Linked DNA regions of Kluyveromyces lactis. The protein of the gene in region 4 purifies or fractionates together with the protein of the main gene of each other region. This does not show direct contact. Links are inferred from orthologs where the notes say so. Each region holds a gene or a part of one and is shown on either strand. Other genes may lie near its edges.

Region 1 (4,134 bases), on a different chromosome or scaffold from region 4:
AGCCTCTTGATTCGAATTGTTATGTTGATATACTTGGGAGTTTCATATTTGGTTTTTGGACATAGAGAATAGATCAGCAAAAGCATCGGATTTCGTGCTGGCGTTGTTATTGTTGGTCGCGGCTGGCGTCGTGGTGCTGCTAGATCCACCGAAATCTAGAAGATCATTCAATGTAGCATTATTATTAGAGGTTTTATTATTATTATTATTATTATTATTATCGTTACCAAAACTGTTAAAGTTACCAGATGCAGGTGGAACTGGACTTTTCTCACTTTGAAAATCACCAAATTCATCATCGTCATCATCTTCACCATCAACACCGAAGCTCTCGAATACGTTAGCATTATTGCTATTGTTGATTGAAGGAGAAGCAGGAGCTGGTGCATCATCGAAGTCCAATAGATCGATTTCTGGTTCCTGCGCGGAGACTTTTCTTTGATGTTCACTGTTACGGATTCTTTCTCGTAATAGCTCTCTTCTCTGTCTTCTCTGTTCGTCCACAGCAGACGATCTACGATCTCTGTGAGCCGTTGGAGTAGGTTCATATTCGAAGTCGTCCGAGTCATCAATGGTAGAAGACGATCCGGCGAAAGAGTCTGCATTGATGGAAATATCGTTATACAGAGATTCTGAGCGAGATCCGGCAGATCCGGCAACGATTTTTTGTGTATTTTCCGCGGTCTTGGAACGCTCGCGTTTCAAGTAAGAAGTATCCTCTATCAACTGGATGATATGTTCACATTTCTTCTTGATACCACGCTCATGTAATTCCATCTTCCCATCACTACTGAAATCAACACGATACTGCATCGTTTCCTTGGTTAAGATATGTTTATGTGCTTGTAAACAGGATAGCACTTGATCAGTCTCTTTGCCCCTATCTGACCTCATCAATAAATACTCTAACAAGACCAAACATTTCAACACAACTCTCCATTCGTTACCGTAATTCACGTACTGCTTTCTGGCCTTTTCGTACATGTTCTTAGGTCTTTTAGCCATATGATCGACTAATCTTTTCAAAGTATATTCAGTCATCAAAAACATTGAAACCTCATAACGATGTCTCATCACTTTAGCCAAATGTTTTGGAGTTGGACCCCAGGAATCGGTATTCGTAGCACGTCTAATATCGATCTGGTATGGTTCATACTGAACTATAACGTTCTGTGCAAATCTTGCAGCATTTCTGAAATCATGCAGACCCAAATTACCCAACTTTTTAGAAATAGAATCCATCCTTACTGATAAGATATAGCCTGTCCAGCGTGATCAATAGCGTACCACTGCAGATACAACGGGTTACCGCACTGAAATGACGAACGTATCCTCACTGATCATTAATCATGATCATTATTTTATGTTGAAAAGTCTTGTAAAGGTTGCGCTGATTGCAGAGGGCAGCTAAATTGGGAAATTTCAGGTGAGAAAAGGGAACAGGCCCGGGTAACCATTTTCATTGGGTAGCTACATTTGTTAATGGCCAAAGAGGAGAGATGATGATCTAGTCATAAACTTCCATTGATATAAAAGGGTGTTGTATATATGTATTTGAGTGTCTTCCATTACCAATTGAGTGAGATCAAATACACTCAATTAGTCAATGGGTTGTTATAGACATAAGTATATATATAGATATCCCGAGCGATTGAAGTGTGATAAAGGGAAGAAAAAAGGATTAAAATGAAAAAAAGAGTCAATTCCCTAGCTTATTTCCTTACAATTCACCAGACTTAGCGATAACAATTCTGGCCTTGGTAGCACCGGAACCGGAACCCAGGGATTCGACCTTCTTGACGACATCGAAACCATCAGCGACTTCACCGAACACGACGTGCTTACCATCCAACCATGGGCATGGAACAGTGGTGATGAAGAATTGAGAGCCGTTGGTGTTTGGACCAGCATTGGCCATGGACAACAAACCTGGCTTTTCGTGCTTCTTGACGAAGTTTTCGTCTGGGAACTTAGCACCGTAGATAGACTTACCACCGACACCAGTACCGTGAGTGAAGTCACCACCTTGCAACATGAAGTCTGGGATAACACGGTGGAAAACAGAGCCGGCGTAACCGAAACCCTTTTCACCAGTAGCTAGAGCTCTGAAGTTTTCAGTAGTCTTTGGAACAACATCGTTGTACAATTGGAAAACAATTCTACCCAATGGTTGACCGTCAGCTTCCACGTCGAAAAATACCTTAGACATTCTTAGTTTAGTTTAGTAGTTGATACTTGGTGTGTTGTAACCAAGATTTTGCAAACCAGAACAGAAGAGCAAGAACTGGACTTGAATTGGAATTGGATTGAAGTTGAATCAGAGTTCAATTGAGAAAGTGGTTGGTAGTTGCTAACAAAGGGTGGCGTTGGCTTCGCAAAATGGTATTAGGTGATGACATGCGGCCGGGTAACGAAAACGGAAACCCCATTATCTTACACATCAACCGCATTGTCGCCGCAAGTCACGTGACACACGTGACTTGCATATTTTGTTAACATCGCAAGGCACGGAGAAACATGCCTGAGTTACCCGTGCCTCAGCTGAAAAATTCTTCGAGAGACAAAACCTGAATCGAAATAATGCGATGAGATGAGATGAGATGAGATGAGATAGCCAAAGGTTGGGTAAATATATAGATGCTGATTTGATTCATCGCACTCCAACGAACAACCACGTATACCATGCTAAGGGGAACTAGAAGACCAGCAAACTCCACTTTGAACACGCCCGTTGTGGTACATACGGTGGGCACGCCAACATACCTATCTAAAGACGAAGTACTACAATTCCTAGCAAGTTTCATTGCCGAAAAGGAATCAGTACCAGGCGTGACACTAGCGTCAAGCGGAGCTTCTACAACCCAGGGAGCAGTAACTTCTGGTGGCATTAGTGCCGATGAAATGGCTCTAGATACACAGCTTTCCAGTGCTCTTGCGCAGCTGAAAAGAGTCGAAAGAGATTTCAAAGGTCTACCACCTCAAGTAATGGAGATGGAACCCTCCAGCACAAGTTCTACTGGTAATACAGAAGAAGATACGGTGGCTAAATCTGCTACTGGAGGGAAAAAGATCAAGTTTGCTGATGTGCCGGAATCTTCACAAACCTCCAGTGACAGCAAACAAACATCCTCATCCTCGGAATCGTCATCAGACTCTGAATAGACGGCTGATTTGCACTACCCACGAATCGGGAGGGTATTCATTCATTATATATATATATATATATATATATATACATACATACGCTAAGTTACATACAGTGACCGTTATAATCAATGCATAAGCTTGGAGCTCACCCTAATTGCAACATACCACGTGACTTCAAATACACAACTTTTTCTTTTCCAATGGGCTCACCTGCGGTTTCTTTCACACAGAGAGAGTGTGAGTCAGTTGGAATTTTTCGTCAAAGTGATATGACATCAGTTGAAAAGAATATCAACATTAACATCCGATTCCTTACTACCAGGTATATATTTGTACACACTTGTAGCATTCATCGTTGCTCTACTTTGCTTCTAATATACTTATCTCATTTTCTTGATCGTATTTATTCTAAAGCGATAAAGAGGATCTGAATCTTGCTTAGGAAGATTAAGAAAGAATCACTACTTATAATATACTATAACTATGGGTAAGAAAGTCGCTGGTGTCTTAGGAGCTACTGGTTCCGTTGGGCAAAGATTTATCTTGTTGTTAGCTGACCATCCAGATTTTGAATTGAAGGTTTTGGGTGCTTCTTCCAGATCTGCAGGTAAGAAGTATGTCGATGCTGTGAACTGGAAACAAACCGATTTGTTACCAGAATTTGCTAAGTCCATCATTGTTTCTGAATGTACCGCTGATGCCTTCAAGGACTGTGATGTTGTGTTCTCTGGTTTGGATGCTGACTATGCTGGTCCAATTGAGAAGGAATTCAAGGAACATGGGTTAGCTGTTATTTCTAATGCTAAGAACTACAGAAGAGAAGAAGATGTGCCATTAATCGTTCCAATCACCAACCCAGAACATTTGGATTTGGTTAACGCGAACTTGGTAAAGGCCAAGCAAGAAGGTAAGCCAAGACCTGGTTTTATTATTTGTATCTCAAACTGTTCTACTGCTGGTTTAGTGGCCCCATTGAAACCATTAGTT
Region 2 (6,052 bases), about 580 kb from region 4:
GTATTTTCAAAGTTCTTGTTCTGAACGCAGTAAAAAGTAATTCTCATGTTGAAAGAAGCTTTAATGATCACCTATCATGATTCACCAAAAGAAAGTTGACAAACTACTGATTACTTCTTTGTCATAAACATTAACGACAACTCCATTAACTGTAATAGTTGTTCACAAACTTACTGTATTGGAAGATATGAACGTTTCGGTAAAATGTGTCAAATACTCAGGTAGACGGCTGCAGTCTACATTTGTACCAAGAATGGTATTCCCAGATTTCAATATACCAACAAGTGACTTCAAAGGACATCAAAAGAAAGCTATACAAAGAGCTCAAAATCTCCTTCCTCAGCTTAATCTTCTAGTTGAACTTCGAGACAGCCGGGCTCCAATAGCCACTAGGAACCTCATATTCGATTACTTGTCCTTAGAAAAGAAAGTTGACAGACTAGTAGTTTACACCAAAACTGATCAATGCGATCCTGCTATTATTGCATCATTAAATAAATGGCATAAGGAAATGGACGAACAATATATCATGATAGATGGAAGAAGCAAAAAGGGCGCTAAAGATCTCTTACATATATTAAAATGGAAGTATGATAAGTTTCTCCAGAAAAATGATCCGGGGAAGAAGACTGTGGGACTACCACTGGGTTATAGAATGCTAATTGGCGGCATGCCTAATGTTGGGAAATCAACACTCGTTAATAGTTTAAGATTTACTGGATATGCAGGCTTGGATCATTCGGATGGAAGCAAACCCAAGAAGGTTGCGAAGACAGGTGATCAGGCAGGTGTCACCAGGAACACTAGTGAATGTATCAGAATCAGTGATTATAAAGGAGGGTTGTTTCTATATGATACGCCTGGAATATCTTTACCTGCCAAAGCAATGAGCAAGCAAAGAATGCTATCACTCAGTTTATGTGGGTGCGTTAAAAACAATCTAGTGGACCCTGTGATTCAAGCAGATTTTCTGTTGTATCTTTTGAACCTACAGGGAAAATATCAATTCTACACACACTACACTACAACCCCTACTAACAACATTGACATTTTGTTGAGTGGCCTCAAAAAGCAAGTAGGAATGACAAACGAGAATGCTGCAGCCATCTATTGGACAGATTCTTGGAGACAAGGTAGAGTTTTAAAATCTGGGTTAAGATCTGGTTCTAAGAAGTCCTCTAAAGCTACTCCAGCTCTATTCGAGTTGGAACCCATTTTGGAAAACTTTCAATACAAGAAAACTATGCAAGAAGAACTTGAAATTCTCAAAGGTTGGGATGTTTTATCCCAACCCTTACTCAACAAAAGAGAAAAGCATTTATCTAAGGCAAATACGCTTTTCTGAGAGAATACCTAAGAAGTAGTCAGTTCTTGGTTAATTATAAACAATGTAAATAAATAATAGAAAAGTATAGACTAGTTTTCCAACATATATCGATAAAGCAAATCGAACCCACCGTCCAAATTCCTAAATAACTCGCAAAAAAAAGTTCATTTTATGAGAAGGAGGCTAAATTGTTAAGTACACTCTCCCCGTTTATTACCACCGCTGACTACCTATAGGTACATCCCGAACTGAAAAAAAAGTTTGCGTGCTAATGAAGGTTTCGATACCAAGGAAGTCATCCGTTAAGCAGGTTTGATTTTTTTCTTATAATCAGCAAACGATAATTTCTTTTTCATCTGAGCTTGGTGGATAGTAGACGAAGGGCCGGGAACGCTGTCTATTCCACGCTTCAACGAATTTTTAATGCTATTAGAATCGGAAGTGACACTAGTTTGTCCTTGGTTTGATATAGTTTCGGTTATATTTGTTATGGTGGTGTCAGTTGGAGGGTTATCTTCAGTACTTATTGTCTGTATGGGAATAGGAAGATCGGCTGGGTGTTTAATCTGTGATTCATCGAACTTAGAAGGATCTGAAATGAATGAAAGACTTTCTTTAAGGGGGTCAACCCTGTTTTTGGACTCCGTCACTGAAACCCTGTATTTGTTCCCTCTGATACTCCCAGCGTTCGTATGGAAAGACTTCTTCTGTACAGTGTCAGAGACCGGTTCTAACATCTTTAGCTTAACGGCATTGAATTTAAGTAGAAATTCATTGGCCCTTGCTGCGTCTGAGATTGTGGCATGCGCTAATTTACTGAGAATAGATGACTGTTTTTTGGTTTGCAATTTGTTTCCGTGTAATATTTCGTTAAGCTTGTATCGATTATTCATTTTTGATTTGACTGATCTATAGAGTGATTGAGAATGGCGTTTGATTTTCAGCAAGTAACAATCTTTACTATTACTTCCACAGGCACAATCACAACTTCCTAGAATGGTGTCTATGGAATGTATGAAAAGATACCTTTGTGGCTCTTCAATGGAATCTATGCTCTCATTATGATTTATTAACTTCCATATTGGATGTCTCAGGTCCCAGTCCCATTTGATGTGAAGTTCTTCACCTTTATCAATGAATCTTAGAGCTCTAAGAACGAACTTTATCTCATCCTGGTTATTGGAATTAGTCAATTTGATTGTGACTAGTTCAACATTGGGATTGCATGATCGTCTCAAGTATCTCGTTAAATTTCCACTTAACCTGGCATCAATATAAATCGGCCAGTGGGGATGAATAATGACTTTAGGTTTTGCAGTTCCCCAGACTCTATAGTTATTTCTTGGATCTTCTAAGTATTTCCTTTGGAAATCAATCTCTCCTAAGAATTCATCGATGTAGTCTCCTTCATCACATCCTTGCTTCAAGTATACAGCTAACTTGGGGTATCCAGGGAACAATCTTGAGTGATTACTGTCAGAATATGGTTTAATTTCAATCGGAATAGGTTTGAACGTTAATTTATGATAAGGTATAACCCAGTCGTCATCAGCGTGGTCTTTTACGAAAAGTTCAACGTATTTATCTTTGTAATCATTTGAAGTCAAAGGGAGATACACTGTAGGATAAGCTTCTTTAGCATTTATTAAAACAATGTTCGTAAGAGGATCTGCGGATGGAATGGCCTCTGGTTCTATACGATGGTCCGTCGCTTCAGAAGTACCTGGATTCCGTGAGTCTTTCGTACCAGACGTGGCCTCTTTTGTCTTCACCTCTTTTATGTTGCCATTTGCCGTGCGTCTACGCTTCTTATTCTGAGCATTTCTGATCCTTTCTTGTTGTTTCTTCTTTGCTAGCTTTACATCTACAAACCTAGAATTGCAGATGTTGCACAGAAAGTCATCTGGGGCATCTTTTTCATGTTCAATTCCATAGCATATAGCATGTTGCCAACGGAAACAATGGTCGCATTGTATAGTAAATCCATCATCATCTTCATAGCCACAGATGCACGTTATTATACCAGCATCTGGATCAACAACATAAGATTCGGGAACCGAAGAAAACCTATCCGTTTCAGATTTTTCAAGTTTTTGTTCCTCTACAGCTTCTTTGAAACTATCTTCTTGTTCCACCACTTTATCTTCGCTCTTTGCTTGCTTTGAAGGAGATTTTTCCTCGGCACCTGATCTAGGCATTGGCACGCTGTTGTTCGCAGCAGGTTTTCTATCGTTTTCTGCTTTTCGTTTAAGAGGTAGTGGCATCGTAGCTGCTTGTGCTAACGCAGCAGCCGCAACCATACCCTTCTTATTCCCGCTTTTCTTTGTCTTTTCGCTATTTGAGTTGCTGCGATGAATACCATTGTCAACGGGACTGCCTTTTAGATGATCATCGTCATCATCATCTTTGATAAGTGCCACAGATGCAGGGCCCGGTGATGTCATGGGATTCATATGCATACTTATATCACCAGCGCTCCCACTGTGACTACCAGCTTGACTTCCGACCTGACTTGCAGTTCCAGCGGAAGGAGTTGGTGTCATTTTGTGTGTATGTATATCGGCTTTTAACTCGTCTTTACCCTCATCGCTCGAGTTGACGTTTGAATTCGATGTTTTAGAGAACATCAACAAAGTGGAGGCATCGTCTATTAACGACTGGTCCTGAGCATGTTCTATAGTACCATCCGTCATCGTTTACTGTATATTTCCTTCTTGTATTGCGGTATTTGATTTGAATATTTGAAATTGAATGAAAAGTCGGTACCTTAATATTAATAAAGATGTCCTAACTTGCCCAGCTTGATATACTTATATACCCTTCTTTATCTTAAAAGGGATCCCTGTTTTCAGGGCCTAGTATGCTTGTTGTCCGAGCTATCGAAGTATAGAAAGCACAGCTAAAACAGTCTATACGTTCTGAATCAAACCCAACAGGAAAAATTAAACGGCCCTTTCTGATCCTCGTACAGCTGTTCTATCAAGTTTGCCAACGGTTACTTCGTGAAAGAGATATGTGCGAGTACCTTATTGACGAGAGCTAATTAGACACTCAATATGTCTGGGCTGGTCGTTTCGTTTCGTTCCTTATTAACATGTTTATTCATCCTTCGTTTGTCAATTTTTAGAAAGATAGTTAATGTTGTTGATTTTCAAAATTTTGTCGTTAAACGGTGAAAAATGTCGTACCTTGAATAATGAAGAGCCGATGAGTTGTAAACAATAAACAAGGTGCAAAAGCACGGTTAGTAGCAGTACCGTTTTCGTTTAACGCAAAGCTGTGGGTGAACATATCGCTGAACGCAAGATTGTGTTACTACTACATGTACCAAGCTGTAGATACTTTTTCTTTTTCTTTATTACTTATATTTAAATACCGGTTTACTGCCAACAGATCCACAATTGCCATGCAATATATTACTCTGTTGCTGCATAATATCAATTGCCGGAAAGGTTACAGTCTTGGGGTGCCGTAACTTTCTTGGTACCATTCTATTTCTTGTAATGCTTTCTTTTCGGGTTCTACTCTCCATTCGATTTCCGTACCGTTCCAATCACTTTCCCTGTACCTCCACTTGTGTGCCAGTATTGGTGCTAATCTTCCTTCTATTTTCTGCTGTACGTAGCTTCCGATGTTAGGAAGAAACTTGTAAGCATGTCCCGAGTCTCCACAACATACATACACGTTTTTCAGGTCGGGGATCATGTCTATAATGAAGTCAGAATTTGATGTGTCACTGATCCAGCATATCTTACAATCAATGATATCCCTTAACTTTGACTTTCTTTTGGTATCGAAGACTAGATCCGGTAGATATTTACCTAGTACTGTTCTTATACGCACGACTGCCTCTATTGGTACACTGGGTGCCGCATCGGGCTGTAGGGCCCGATAGACCGCTCTTGATTTGTTGCTCATATCATCATATGCAGACATCGCACTAGTGCAAATCTTCAATATCCTGGTGTGCTTATCTGGAGGGAACAGATATCCTAAGCTACTGTTGAAGACCACTGGAATATCCTTTAACTTTTGATATTCTTTGTCCGTCAGTTGAATATGGCCTACATATAACCCAGTAGCCCTGATCTGACCATACATAGGCAGAAGTGATACAGTATTAGCACCACATGCAACAATAATTTTGTGTCCAAGGAATTTTCTGCCAGATTCACATTGAACAGTGCCCGCTGACACACTCACGGCTCCATCATTTTCATGAAATACGACGCCTAATGATTCAGCATAATTTTTCATGGTCACTAGTGAATCCCTAGCCAAACCAATACCACAGTCTGGATTGTAACGAATCTCATCGTAGCGTTGACTATGAGAAAACTGAGGGAACTTACCACCACAAGTTAACTCTTTATGTAGTTCCACAGTTTTACACTTATTAAACTTTGTTTGTAGAAGTTGTAAACTGTCATTATCGAAAGCATATCTGCTTGTATTCTTATCTTGAATTGCACTCAATCTACCACAATGAGAGTAACAATCATGCAGCATTCCTCGAGGCAAAAATTTGTCACTTTCACCGTGCCAGTATCCCATTGCTTCCACTGCTAGTGCAGCGTAGACTTCATCGTTGTACTCTAGTCTAACAATTTTATTATAATCACAGGACGCACTTAACTGCGATGGAATTTGAAACTTATCAACCACCACAACTTTATATTTGGAACGAGCCAATTGCACAGCAGTACTTAATCCAAATATACCCGC
Region 3 (5,904 bases), about 510 kb from region 4:
GGGCAACTCTAGAAACGGAGGAACGCAACACTGTTGGTAATAATAACATTGAAAATGATTCAATAAGGAAAAAACATATTTTTCCCATCATTTTCCAGTTTAATCGTTGTTAGTAAAAATAAGATTCTTTGTACTGAAAAAAATCAGACGATAATTGCAAGTGGAATAAGTAAGAGTTTAAATATCAATTCTGGTCTTGAAAAACATGATCCCTTCTTTTACAGCTGAGTTACAATCATTATTATGTTGAATTCTCAAAATGCCATTTCTTTCTCCATGACCAAATACAGATAATGGATAAAAACCCTTATAGGAACCAAATCCACTAAAAAACAACCAATCCATTTAAAACTTTAAACCTGATCAGGTATGACTATACCACCTTATTCATCGGGATGATAATTAGAACATCTCTTAAATCGTTCTTCTTATGATTTTATCCATTATCTCCGGAAACTCCAGTTCGCATTTGTTCCTTATTGAAAATTCCCATTCGCAATCCCCTGATTATGTTACGTCTTACGGTGCACATACTCTTTATAAAATCTTTGGCCGCTAGTTGTGAATACTAATATCAAACAAGAAAACCCTTGGAATAAATTAGAGAAACTATACCAAAACAATGTTCAAATCTGTGAAACTAGCTAAAATCAGCTTTATATTTTATCTTTTATTTAAATTATATGAAAAATTTACAGCTTTTTTTTTCATGTTTCTCCATTATAAAAGGTGAATAGCACCAACGGAAGTGGGCCGAAAAAAAAAACGCTAACAAGAAAACGCTTCGAAGAAAAATGGCTGGTAACAGTTTTTTTTTCTACTCTATTGTTTATCTCGAAGGAGAATCGAAGGTTTATGATATGATGGTGTGTTTTAGGTCATTTCATACGAGATGGAACTTTTTTTCGGATTTAACGTTACTAAATCAGACTCTGGCCAATCATGTTCCCGGAAAGACAGTCGCATAGTACGGGTTGGGGAAGTGATGAATGAAGGGCGTGGAAAATCATCTGCAAAGGTCCGAGTCACGTGTATATAAAATCCACGTGACTTCTATTTTCCGAGGAAGACGTTCTTCTTCTATCTTTTCTTATGTATTGTTACAGTGTTAAGCTTCTTATGCTATGTATAATGACCCTACCAAAGCGCTTTGGAGGCATTCAACCATGGTAACATTTTGGAGCGTGATTGATATTTGGCAGGGACAAAGCGTGTGTTAGCATTATTTTCGTTTTGGCCAGGTCTTTTGCTATCACGTAAAAGGACCTTTCTTGTTCTGTACAAGGCAGATGTAGATGCCGGGATAAATTCTATCATATTTTTTTCAATCCAGTCATTCATCTTTGGGTTTAAATCTTGCAGGTTCAATCGCGATAGTTTAATCCATGTTAGTGGGAGTTCATAGAATTTTACATACTCTGTTTGGTCAATTTCCGACAATTGCCTCCAGGGCAAGGACTTCGAGTTGTTTGCATTATCGCTGCCGCCATATAAGAAGATGAATTTGAAAAGATTCCATAGTTGTGGGTACTGACCCTTTTCCACTTCTTTAAATTCTGATGATTGTTTCTTTAACTCTTCGGTGCTGGATTTGATAATGACACTTATTTGAAGATCTAGCACCCATTTTGATCCATCTTCAGTGAAGTAGTACACAGGCCCAAATTTATCGTAATTCTCAAGATCTTTGAAATCAATGACTCTCAATCCAATTGGATAACGCTCTCTGATCTTTAATCTTTTTTCTACTTCGTTTCTGTTTCGAAGTTCTTCTTCTTTTAATAGTTCCTCTTTCTTGGCCTGTTCTAGCCTCTGTTCCTCCTGTTGCTTCAATTTCTCCTTCTCTTCTACTCTCTTCCGTTCATCTTCAGCTAATCTGTTTAAGAATTCCTGTTCTTTCCTTTTCTTCTGTTGCAGTCTCTTTTGCCTGTACTCTTCTTCGCTCTTCAACCTTGCGGCTCTCTCTTCTTCGCTTTCTTTCGGAAGAATAGGCGGAGTGGATAGTTGATGTGTAGGAGATGCACTTTTATAACGATGAGTTAATGATGTTGAAGATGTTGATTTTGTTGAGTCTAGTCTCTCTAGACTTGGCCTGACTAGGGAAGCAGTTTCTGCTGTCGTTTGAGAATCAGGTAATAATTTTGGCTTTTCCTCATTGATATTTCCGATTTTAGATTGTGGTTCTGAATGATAAGGACTATCATCTTTACGAATTTCCAAAGAACGATCTTGCTCTTCTCCTTTGGTGGATGGAATTGACGATATTTCTCTAGGTGAAGGAGATTTCCCTTCAGAATCTTCCTCCCCCTCTTCATCGCTGTTGTTTGAAACTTCGTATCCATATTTTGCCCTCACCGCTGCTTTGAGTAAATTCACTTCATCAGGATCCGTTAGACCAAGAGAGCTGTGGTTAGCATAATGCAAGGCAGTTTTCTTTCGTTTGTCAGTTTTCTGTGGATCCGCCCCGGCTTCGAGTAAAAGTTTCACGACGTTGACATGTCCACGCCCGACAGATAGCATCAACGGAGTTTGACCTTCTTTGTTACTCATATTAACTTGTGCGCCAAAGGCTAAAAATAAACTTACTACGTCATCATGACCATATATGCAACTCTCAAGGAAACATCTGAAATCAGGTCTACCACCGTTTTCAAGGTACGAACCGACGTATGCTAATTTCCCCTCTTTGGAAGCTTTCAAAAGCTTGTTTTTACCCAATTTTGAACTGATATCAGTCCAATAAAAGTCGTCATCATGGTTGAGTTGTTTGTCTATATCATCTGAATGTCTTGACATGGAACTAGACTGTAAGGTGCGATGGGAATGTTTTATATATTTCCTCGTTGCTCTCTTTAACATATCTTTCATATCGTGCACTATTCTTCTATCATCATTATCCATGTCTGATTCCTCCTCAATAGATTCAATTGCACTTAGACCTTTGGCATTTACCATTGTTGGATCTGCTCCGTGATCTAGAAGATATTTTACAACATTTATGTGGCCATTCGCGGAAGCATCAATAAGAGGCGTATCTAGAAACATATCATATGATTGAATATTAACATTAGCTCCATTTCTTACGAGCAACTCGACAATTGCTGAATGACCATTTAGAGCTGCTTCGTGTAGTGGCGTATTTCCAGCGTTGTCTTGGTCGTTAACGTCATAGCCGTCTTCTTCAATAAGTTTTTTTGCCAAATCATATTTGCCTTTATCACAAGCAATTTGTAGTTTTGTCCTGCCTCCGGCATCCCTATGTACTCCACGCTTAGTCTTCGGTATCTTTTTCCCGGCAGAATGTTTTTGCTTCTTGTGATTGGAGGAGTTTTCTATACTAGAGGATTTGCGCTTGTGTTCATTATAATGTTTCACCGGAGAGGAATCTTCGTGAATCGCACTGCTTGATATTTTAGCTGTACGAGCCTCATCTAAATCGGAAAGATCAGAATCGGATTCCCCATCATTTGTCAATACTGGAGCACTTGATTGTCGACTGTTGTTTCCGCTTTCAAGTTGATCACCTCGTATTAGTCTCCCCATTTTTGGTCTTGGTGGCGATGCAGGCTCTGTCGGTGCGTCACTTTCAACTTCACTGAGTGCACTACTATATTCTTCGTCAGAATGCTTATTTCTCCCTACTTTCGGTAGATTTTTCTTTTCTTCTACATCCGTTTCCTGTTTTATTTCATTAATAGGTCCTTTCGTTTCCGCTTGTCTCACCGGTATTGACTCTTGATTATTCAAAGGAGATCCAACTTTCTGGTCAGAGCTGTTTGCTTGGCTAACGACATAGGGTTCGTCTGATGGTTGTTTTGTACTGTTCTGATCAGTTGAAGTTACCTTTTGAGATACCTCTTCCTCCTTTACTGGAACATTGGTAACAGAATAATTCCCATTTTCACCCACTGGCTTAGGACTTTCTCGCTGCTGTTGCTCTGATCTTTCTCGTTCTTCTCTTCTCTCTTCGAGACGAGATAGATAACTGCCCAAGCTTCTTTTTTTGACAGGTTCGCTCATGGTTATTACTCGGTTTTTTCAGAAAGGTTTGAAAGTTATGAATGGCCTCTGATTTTCCATAATTCGCACTCTTCTGAATGAATCCTTCGAGTAACGTAAAGTCCGAAGTATAATAAGTGGGAGGACAGTATTATCTAATGGTTTCTTTGCATTATTCTCCCTTGTCACCAGCTTTATTTACCTTATATCATAACTTAGAAACCTTCAAAAGTTTAATGTTTTTAAGAACAGAATTATCACTTGGTACGTTTTGATAGTTTGCCCAAACAGAAGATCCGCGGCGTATTATTACAGAGTAGTGTTTAGGCTACTATATACTTTGTATGGGTATCCCTAAAATTGCGTTTTATATCATACAATCTCACAGAGAGAGTTCACCGAATTCCGAGATGGACTCGAATGACTGTTTCCGACAGTTATCATTGATTGAGTCACAATTGTTAAGCCAATCTTCCCATTCCATTAGTTGGAATAACAAACTCATATTTGGACTTATTTCTCTGGCGACAGACTTCAATTTATTATATGCTTCATTCAAGCTTAATTTGTCGTATCTCATCATGTAAGCTACTATCAAGGAAGCTGATCTTGATACTCCACATTGACAGTGGATTAGCACCTTTTTTTTGCTGGCATAGGCATTCTGTATTAGTTCTGTTAGTTGTGGTAGGTTTTTAGTAATTTGTGAGGTATGAGACCAAGTAAAATGATAATAGCAACCTTGCTTGGATAGAGGCAGTTGTTCCTTGTAGTTGGTAATCTCCTTTGCAACGTTTATTATTACGTCGTAATCCATTACTTCTTTTAATGATGGTTCAGAATACAAATATATGAAAGGAGGGACGACAAGTAACGGTCCACTGGGATAATATTTCTCTCTGTATGATTCTGAATAGCTCGGTGAGTCTTCATCAGAATGGGTATTGTATGGGATGCTCTTCATATCATTATCATAATTTGTAGAGGACATGGGCGTATTTTCTTGAAGAACCCAATACCGTGTCGTGCTTTCCATTGAATCATTACTGGGCGTCTGTATCTGAGGTACACTTGTCGCAATTGTCGTGGCCCTCGGCCTATTGTGAAATTTGGTGTTGATTGTTGGAAGTGTTGGTTTATTGAAAGGCGAGGAAGACGTAGACGATGAGGGTGAAGCGGCTGAATCAAAGCCCGAACTGCCAGACGGTAATTGTGGTGTAGAGGGTGTGGATCTGGCAGATTTAAGCTGTGGCGGTAAAGTGTATATCTGTGCTTCACTTACACGTTTAGTAAGCTGGTGGCGCAATGGCACTGCGAAAGTATCATTGCTTTCATTTGGTTTTGAATCCACCATTATTAGTTTGTTTTTCGTTGGGGAATCACCTATTCGAAGACAAAGGTTCTTTGAATTTTTATTTTGCATCGAATGATGTGACCTTGTACTTATTCTCTGCGGTGCCTCCATATCGCTCGGTGTTGGGTATTGAAAAGGACTTGCAAGTATGATCAAATGTTTAATATAATTATAACCAAATAAGTTTCTTACCGAATTTCTTTGGCCAGGAATTCAAGATGAGATAAGAACGGTTTTCTTATGGGTTACCAGCGTCTAGGGAAATAATCAAGTACCAGCTTTAGTTTTCCTATATCTTTGAAGTAACACAATATTCAATAATTTCAATAAATTGCTGTACAAGCTTTTCTCAAATATCCTCTAATGTAGTAGCTAAGATCTCACAATCGTTCCCCGTTAATATGTTCAAAATATCCCCTCTGCCGCCTTGAATGTGTGTGTGGTAAGTCGAGGAAAACCCACCGGCGTGCAATTCGAAGGTTTAAATCTATGCCAATAACAATGATAACTTGTGGACCTACAGCAGTTGATTTATTTGACGATAAAAACAG
Region 4 (4,904 bases):
TTACCGCTATTATTATTATTTGAGAGAAAAGTTACTTTTTTTCTTTAAACCGGACCTTTTAAAATCTCACAGAATTGATACTGTCACTTTTTTAGATGCCCGATATGACAAACGAATCTTCTTCTAAGCCAGCTCAAATTAACATTGGTATCAATGGTTTTGGTAGAATCGGTAGATTGGTTCTACGTGCTGCTTTGACGCACCCAGAAGTTAAGGTCAGATTAATCAATAATCCATCCACAACACCAGAATACGCTGCTTATTTGTTCAAATACGATTCTACTCACGGCAAGTATCGTGGTGAAGTTGAATTCGACGATGAACGTATCATCATTCAAAATGACCATGTTTCGGCTCATATCCCTCTATCTCATTTTAGGGAACCAGAGCGTATCCCATGGGCTTCCTACAACGTCGATTATGTAATTGACTCAACCGGTGTCTTCAAGGAAGTCGATACAGCCTCTAGACATAAAGGTGTCAAAAAAGTTATCATTACTGCTCCATCAAAGACCGCGCCAATGTACGTCTATGGTGTTAACCACGTTAAATACAACCCATTGACGGATCACGTGGTCTCTAATGCCTCCTGTACTACCAACTGTTTGGCTCCGTTGGTTAAGGCTTTGGACGATGAGTTCGGTATCGAAGAAGCCTTGATGACAACTATTCATGCAACTACTGCTTCTCAAAAGACTGTCGATGGTACCAGTTCTGGTGGTAAGGACTGGAGAGGCGGTAGATCTTGCCAGGGAAATATCATTCCTTCATCTACTGGTGCAGCTAAGGCTGTAGGGAAAATCTTGCCTGAACTTAATGGTAAGATCACCGGTATGTCTATAAGAGTCCCAACAATTAATATTTCCCTGGTTGACTTGACATTCCGTACAGCAAAGAAAACTTCTTACGATGACATTATGAAGGCCCTAGAACAAAGATCTCGCAGCGATATGAAGGGTGTTTTGGGTGTTACCAAAGACGCCGTTGTGTCCTCTGACTTCACATCCGATTCACGTTCATCTATTGTTGATGCCAAGGCCGGTATTGAATTGAACGACCATTTTTTCAAGGTCCTTTCTTGGTATGATAATGAATATGGTTACTCTTCAAGAGTGGTTGATTTATCCATTTTCATGGCTCAAAAGGACTTCGAAGCTGGTGTTTAAGGAGACGCTTTTTTTGTTTGATTTCAAAATCCCAGTAGACTGACAAAAAAGTACTCTTCGTTTGATGAAGACTATTCTCAAAAGTTTTCGACAATTTACAAAATTATGATGGTACTTCAAAACAATACCTTTTGTACCTCCATCCGCCATTATTATTTAATATTCACAGCAATTTAAAGATATTCTATTTACTAAAGGATATCTTCAGAAAATTTCTTAACACATATAGACAAGTTAAATAAAAACCCATACCATGTAAGCATAATGAAGTATACGATCTTAATATTAATTGGTAATAATGTATTTATTTAACCTCGAAGGCACTTTCTTCGTGCTCATAATTTTACCTTAATAGTGTTAATTTAGTAGTATTCTAACAACTCCATATAGGATATCTATTTACAAAGCGTAACCAAAAGAAAGAAAAAAAAACAAATATATCAGATTTCCGCACGTGATATTTTAGTATAGTTCGCCCACTTTAAAGTCATCCTTCTCCATTTGTGCCAACCTAGCCTTGTCCTCTTCGACATTTAACTCTTTTATCAGTTCCTCTTCTTCTTCAGTTAGGCCAGTGATGTCCTGTGTTGGGATGAGTTCTGCATCCATACGAACACTTGGGGCACCCTGTAAGTATTTGATGTTCTCCAAACATCTAATCCGTATATTTTCAAGAAATTTCTTGGAATTTTTGTTTTCATACAAGTCATCTAGTGTTGGATGTAATGAATAATCTGGGCCAAACCAATCTCTAAATGGAATACCTTCTGGAAGTTTAGGTTGTAGCAATACCCCATTTAATAATCCTGTTTCATACGTCCACAATCTTGAAACATTTCTTGGTGTATAACCACCACCTCCAACCACAAGCATTGGTACTCCAAACGACTTGACAAACCGTACACATTCACCATGAGCCTTGATATTTAAGTTAAAACAGCCAAGTCTATCGTGGCCAAGGGAGTCGGCACCACATTGCTGAATAATTACACTGGGCCGAAAAGATGTTATTACGGGATCAATAATGCTTTTGAATAAATTAATGTATGAGTCGTCTTCGATCCCATCTTGTAACGGAACGTTCAATGCAAAATGCTTACCTCTGGAGCAACCTATCTCATCCAAATCACCTGTACCTGGAAAGAATTCGCCGTTATACTTATGGAATGAAACAGTGAACACACGGTCAGTAGTGTAAAACGCTTCCTGTACACCGTCACCATGGTGCAAATCTATATCGATGTATAACACTCTCGGGTGATACCGCAGTAGATTTACTATGGCTAACACGATATCGTTAACGTAACAGAAACCAGATGGATTGTTCTTTTTCGCATGATGTAGACCACCAGACCAATTGATAGCTATTTCACTCTGACCATTAAGTAGCTTTCTAGAAGCATCTAACGATGCCCCAGCATATAAGGCAGCATAATCAAACATTCCTTGGAAGATAGGACAATCGTCACCAATGTTGAATTTCTCGAGTGACCCTCGAGGAAGTTTATTCAATGTATCTGGTGTTACCTTCGCTAAGAAATTGACATAGTCCTCAGAATGAAATTTTGTTAACTCATCCTTTGTTGCTGACCTCGTCTCATATAAGTCCATCACTTTGTGTAACCCGTATGCCGAAACCAAATGGTCGGTAAGCATAAGCCTAAAAGGTTTCATTGGATGCTTGACACCGTAATGATATTGTGATACCTTCGAATTGAAGTGGTACGAGACTCTGGGACTATAGGAAGTCCCAAAATCACAATCAAACAATGGCTTCTCAGCTTCCGTTTTCTCATCAAATTTAAGTGTATCCGATGACATCTTATGAAAAGGATTCCGCTACCACTTACCCGTAATGAATAACTGCCACTCAGCCAGAATTGATACTTGGTAGCTACAATCTGCAAAGAGTTGGGTATTGGCTCGGTCGATTGTCTATTCGACCTTTCCGTACTTTATTTATGTGTTGTTCTGTTATTACTGTATTTTCAAATTCCATGTTTTTTTATTCCAAGTGGATCAGAACCATAAACTCCGTACATCACATGAACCAATCACGTGATAACAACGTATCAAGATGAAGGATGTACCCCACAATTCTAAAGAGAGATCAGCATCGTTGCAGATTCACGTATAATACACTGGTAAAGCCCTTCACTTTCCTGCCAGTTTGGAGCCTGTGTATTCCCCTGTTCACAACGAATTCCTACCTAGATCAAACTCGGATTTGAAAATAAAAAATCCCAGCTTCATCACGAAATACACCATCTTTTTAAGACAGAACCATTGTTAAACGTGGATGGAACTGAGAGGAAAAGCCGGCAATTTATATATAGTTTCATGACATTGTAGGCACAGAAAGTTTGTGAAAGTTGTGGTGATCGAAAAAAATATACGGATTTGTTATATCTTGTCTGGAGCCAGAGATATTGACGTCGGCGGTTGTTTTTTTATTGAGTGGAGTAACAAGGTGAAACGAAACTGAATATAGCTGCGTCTCGAAAGAAATTGTCCGAGCAGTGAAAGGAGTGAAACTGGTATTATGTCTTTGAATTGGGGGTTAGTTGATTTTATGTTGGACAACTATGCGTCCATCACTGCATCCCCGATCAATGGTAGCTTACACGACATTTATGTCATTTATTCCATGTTCATGCAAAATTTCCTATGGAAGAATAACGAATGTGGTGAGACGTATTACCAGTTTTGTGAAGATTTGAATAAAATTTCAGAAGTATGTGGTGGTTGCATGAATTTTGAAGATGATAGTGGCGGGAATATTTTTGGCCAAAAGATTTCATTTGTTGATGGGGACTCCTTGAAAATATTGCAAAAAGTTCATTATGACCAAGCTATTAAATTGTCATTATCACATACTGGCAATAAAGCCAAGCAGATTGCGATCGATAAAGATTCTGTTCAGGTTAAAGAAAGAAAAATTGAAAGCGAACCCATATTATTAAATAAGTTGATGGGCATTTTGGACCAGAGTGAAATTGTAACCCCTAATGCTAAGTGTCTAAGACACTTAAATCAAATCCTCTCGTTAGAACTCGGATCCACTAAGTTATCTAAAGAACAGGCAAAATTAAACACTAAGCGATCACCTTTCATACCAATATGCTCAGATCCGAAACATGTGTCACTACTATCCACCGTCATCAATACTGTTAACAACAAAATCATGTCTTTGCAAGGTGAAAAATTAAAGAAGATTGAAGCTGATTGTCCGGATATTATCGAATGTTCGAACACGCACATTCATTTCATACCAAATTTAAAGCCACAGACGGATCTTTCGTTGGGAGATTGTTCGTATTTGGATACTTGTCACAAGTTAAGTACCTGCAGATACGTCCACTATCTGCAATATTATCCTGAATCTCTCCAAAAACAGAAAATTGAAGAACAAAAAGAGCAACGCAAGCAGTATTCGTTCTATACGCATGGAGAGTGCTGTTCTTCATCGTTTAAGAAGCTTCTTCCTCCACAATGGATCAAATGTGACGTCAGAAAGTTTGACTTCGATATTCTTGGTAAATTTTCAGCCGTTATTGCAGATCCCGCATGGAACATTCATATGAATTTGCCCTACGGTACTTGCAATGATAATGAGTTACTGCAACTACCATTTGATCTCTTGCAGGAAGAAGGTTTATTGTTCTTGTGGGTAACCGGCCGTGCTATCGAAGTAGGGAAAGAATCATTGCAGAATTGGGGTTACGAAGTAATAAATGA

What was found. The genes of interacting proteins can lie anywhere in the genome.
Region 1: the proteins of HOS2 (region 4) and CPR1 purify together in Saccharomyces cerevisiae (affinity purification with mass spectrometry; 4 studies listed by BioGRID, with this or other methods). This does not show direct contact. The link is inferred for Kluyveromyces lactis from reciprocal best matches to the Saccharomyces cerevisiae genes HOS2 and CPR1.
Region 2: the proteins of HOS2 (region 4) and KLLA0_F02882g purify together in Saccharomyces cerevisiae (affinity purification with mass spectrometry; 5 studies listed by BioGRID, with this or other methods). This does not show direct contact. The link is inferred for Kluyveromyces lactis from reciprocal best matches to the Saccharomyces cerevisiae genes HOS2 and SET3.
Region 3: the proteins of HOS2 (region 4) and HOS4 purify together in Saccharomyces cerevisiae (affinity purification with mass spectrometry; 3 studies listed by BioGRID). This does not show direct contact. The link is inferred for Kluyveromyces lactis from reciprocal best matches to the Saccharomyces cerevisiae genes HOS2 and HOS4.

The regions. Positions count from the first base shown.
Region 1 is NC_006040.1:1,413,465-1,417,598, forward strand, and holds CPR1 (peptidylprolyl isomerase CPR1), read right to left. Parts: upstream 2,210-4,134; coding exon 1,721-2,209; downstream 1-1,720. Other genes in the region: ENT5 (Ent5p), read right to left, coding at 43-1,242; DNA-directed RNA polymerase I subunit RPA14, read left to right, coding at 2,683-3,162; HOM2 (aspartate-semialdehyde dehydrogenase), read left to right, coding at 3,631-4,134. UniProt on the Saccharomyces cerevisiae protein: PPIases accelerate the folding of proteins. It catalyzes the cis-trans isomerization of proline imidic peptide bonds in oligopeptides. Involved in histone deacetylase complexes, suggesting a function in chromatin.
Region 2 is NC_006042.1:267,130-273,181, reverse strand, and holds KLLA0_F02882g (uncharacterized protein), read right to left. Parts: upstream 4,021-6,052; coding exon 1,630-4,020; downstream 1-1,629. Other genes in the region: putative GTPase MTG1, read left to right, coding at 188-1,345; KLLA0_F02860g (NAD(P)/FAD-dependent oxidoreductase), read right to left, coding at 4,781-6,052.
Region 3 is NC_006042.1:340,886-346,789, reverse strand, and holds HOS4 (Hos4p), read right to left. Parts: upstream 4,021-5,904; coding exon 1,138-4,020; downstream 1-1,137. Other genes in the region: KLLA0_F03641g (cytochrome c oxidase subunit IV family protein), read right to left, coding at 1-30, 535-535; KLLA0_F03597g (dual specificity protein phosphatase family protein), read right to left, coding at 4,382-5,464. UniProt on the Saccharomyces cerevisiae protein: Unknown. Component of the Set3C complex, which is required to repress early/middle sporulation genes during meiosis.
Region 4 is NC_006042.1:846,550-851,453, reverse strand, and holds HOS2 (histone deacetylase HOS2), read right to left. Parts: upstream 2,988-4,904; coding exon 1,629-2,987; downstream 1-1,628. Other genes in the region: KLLA0_F09141g (type I glyceraldehyde-3-phosphate dehydrogenase), read left to right, coding at 96-1,166; IME4 (mRNA (N6-adenosine)-methyltransferase), read left to right, coding at 3,709-4,904.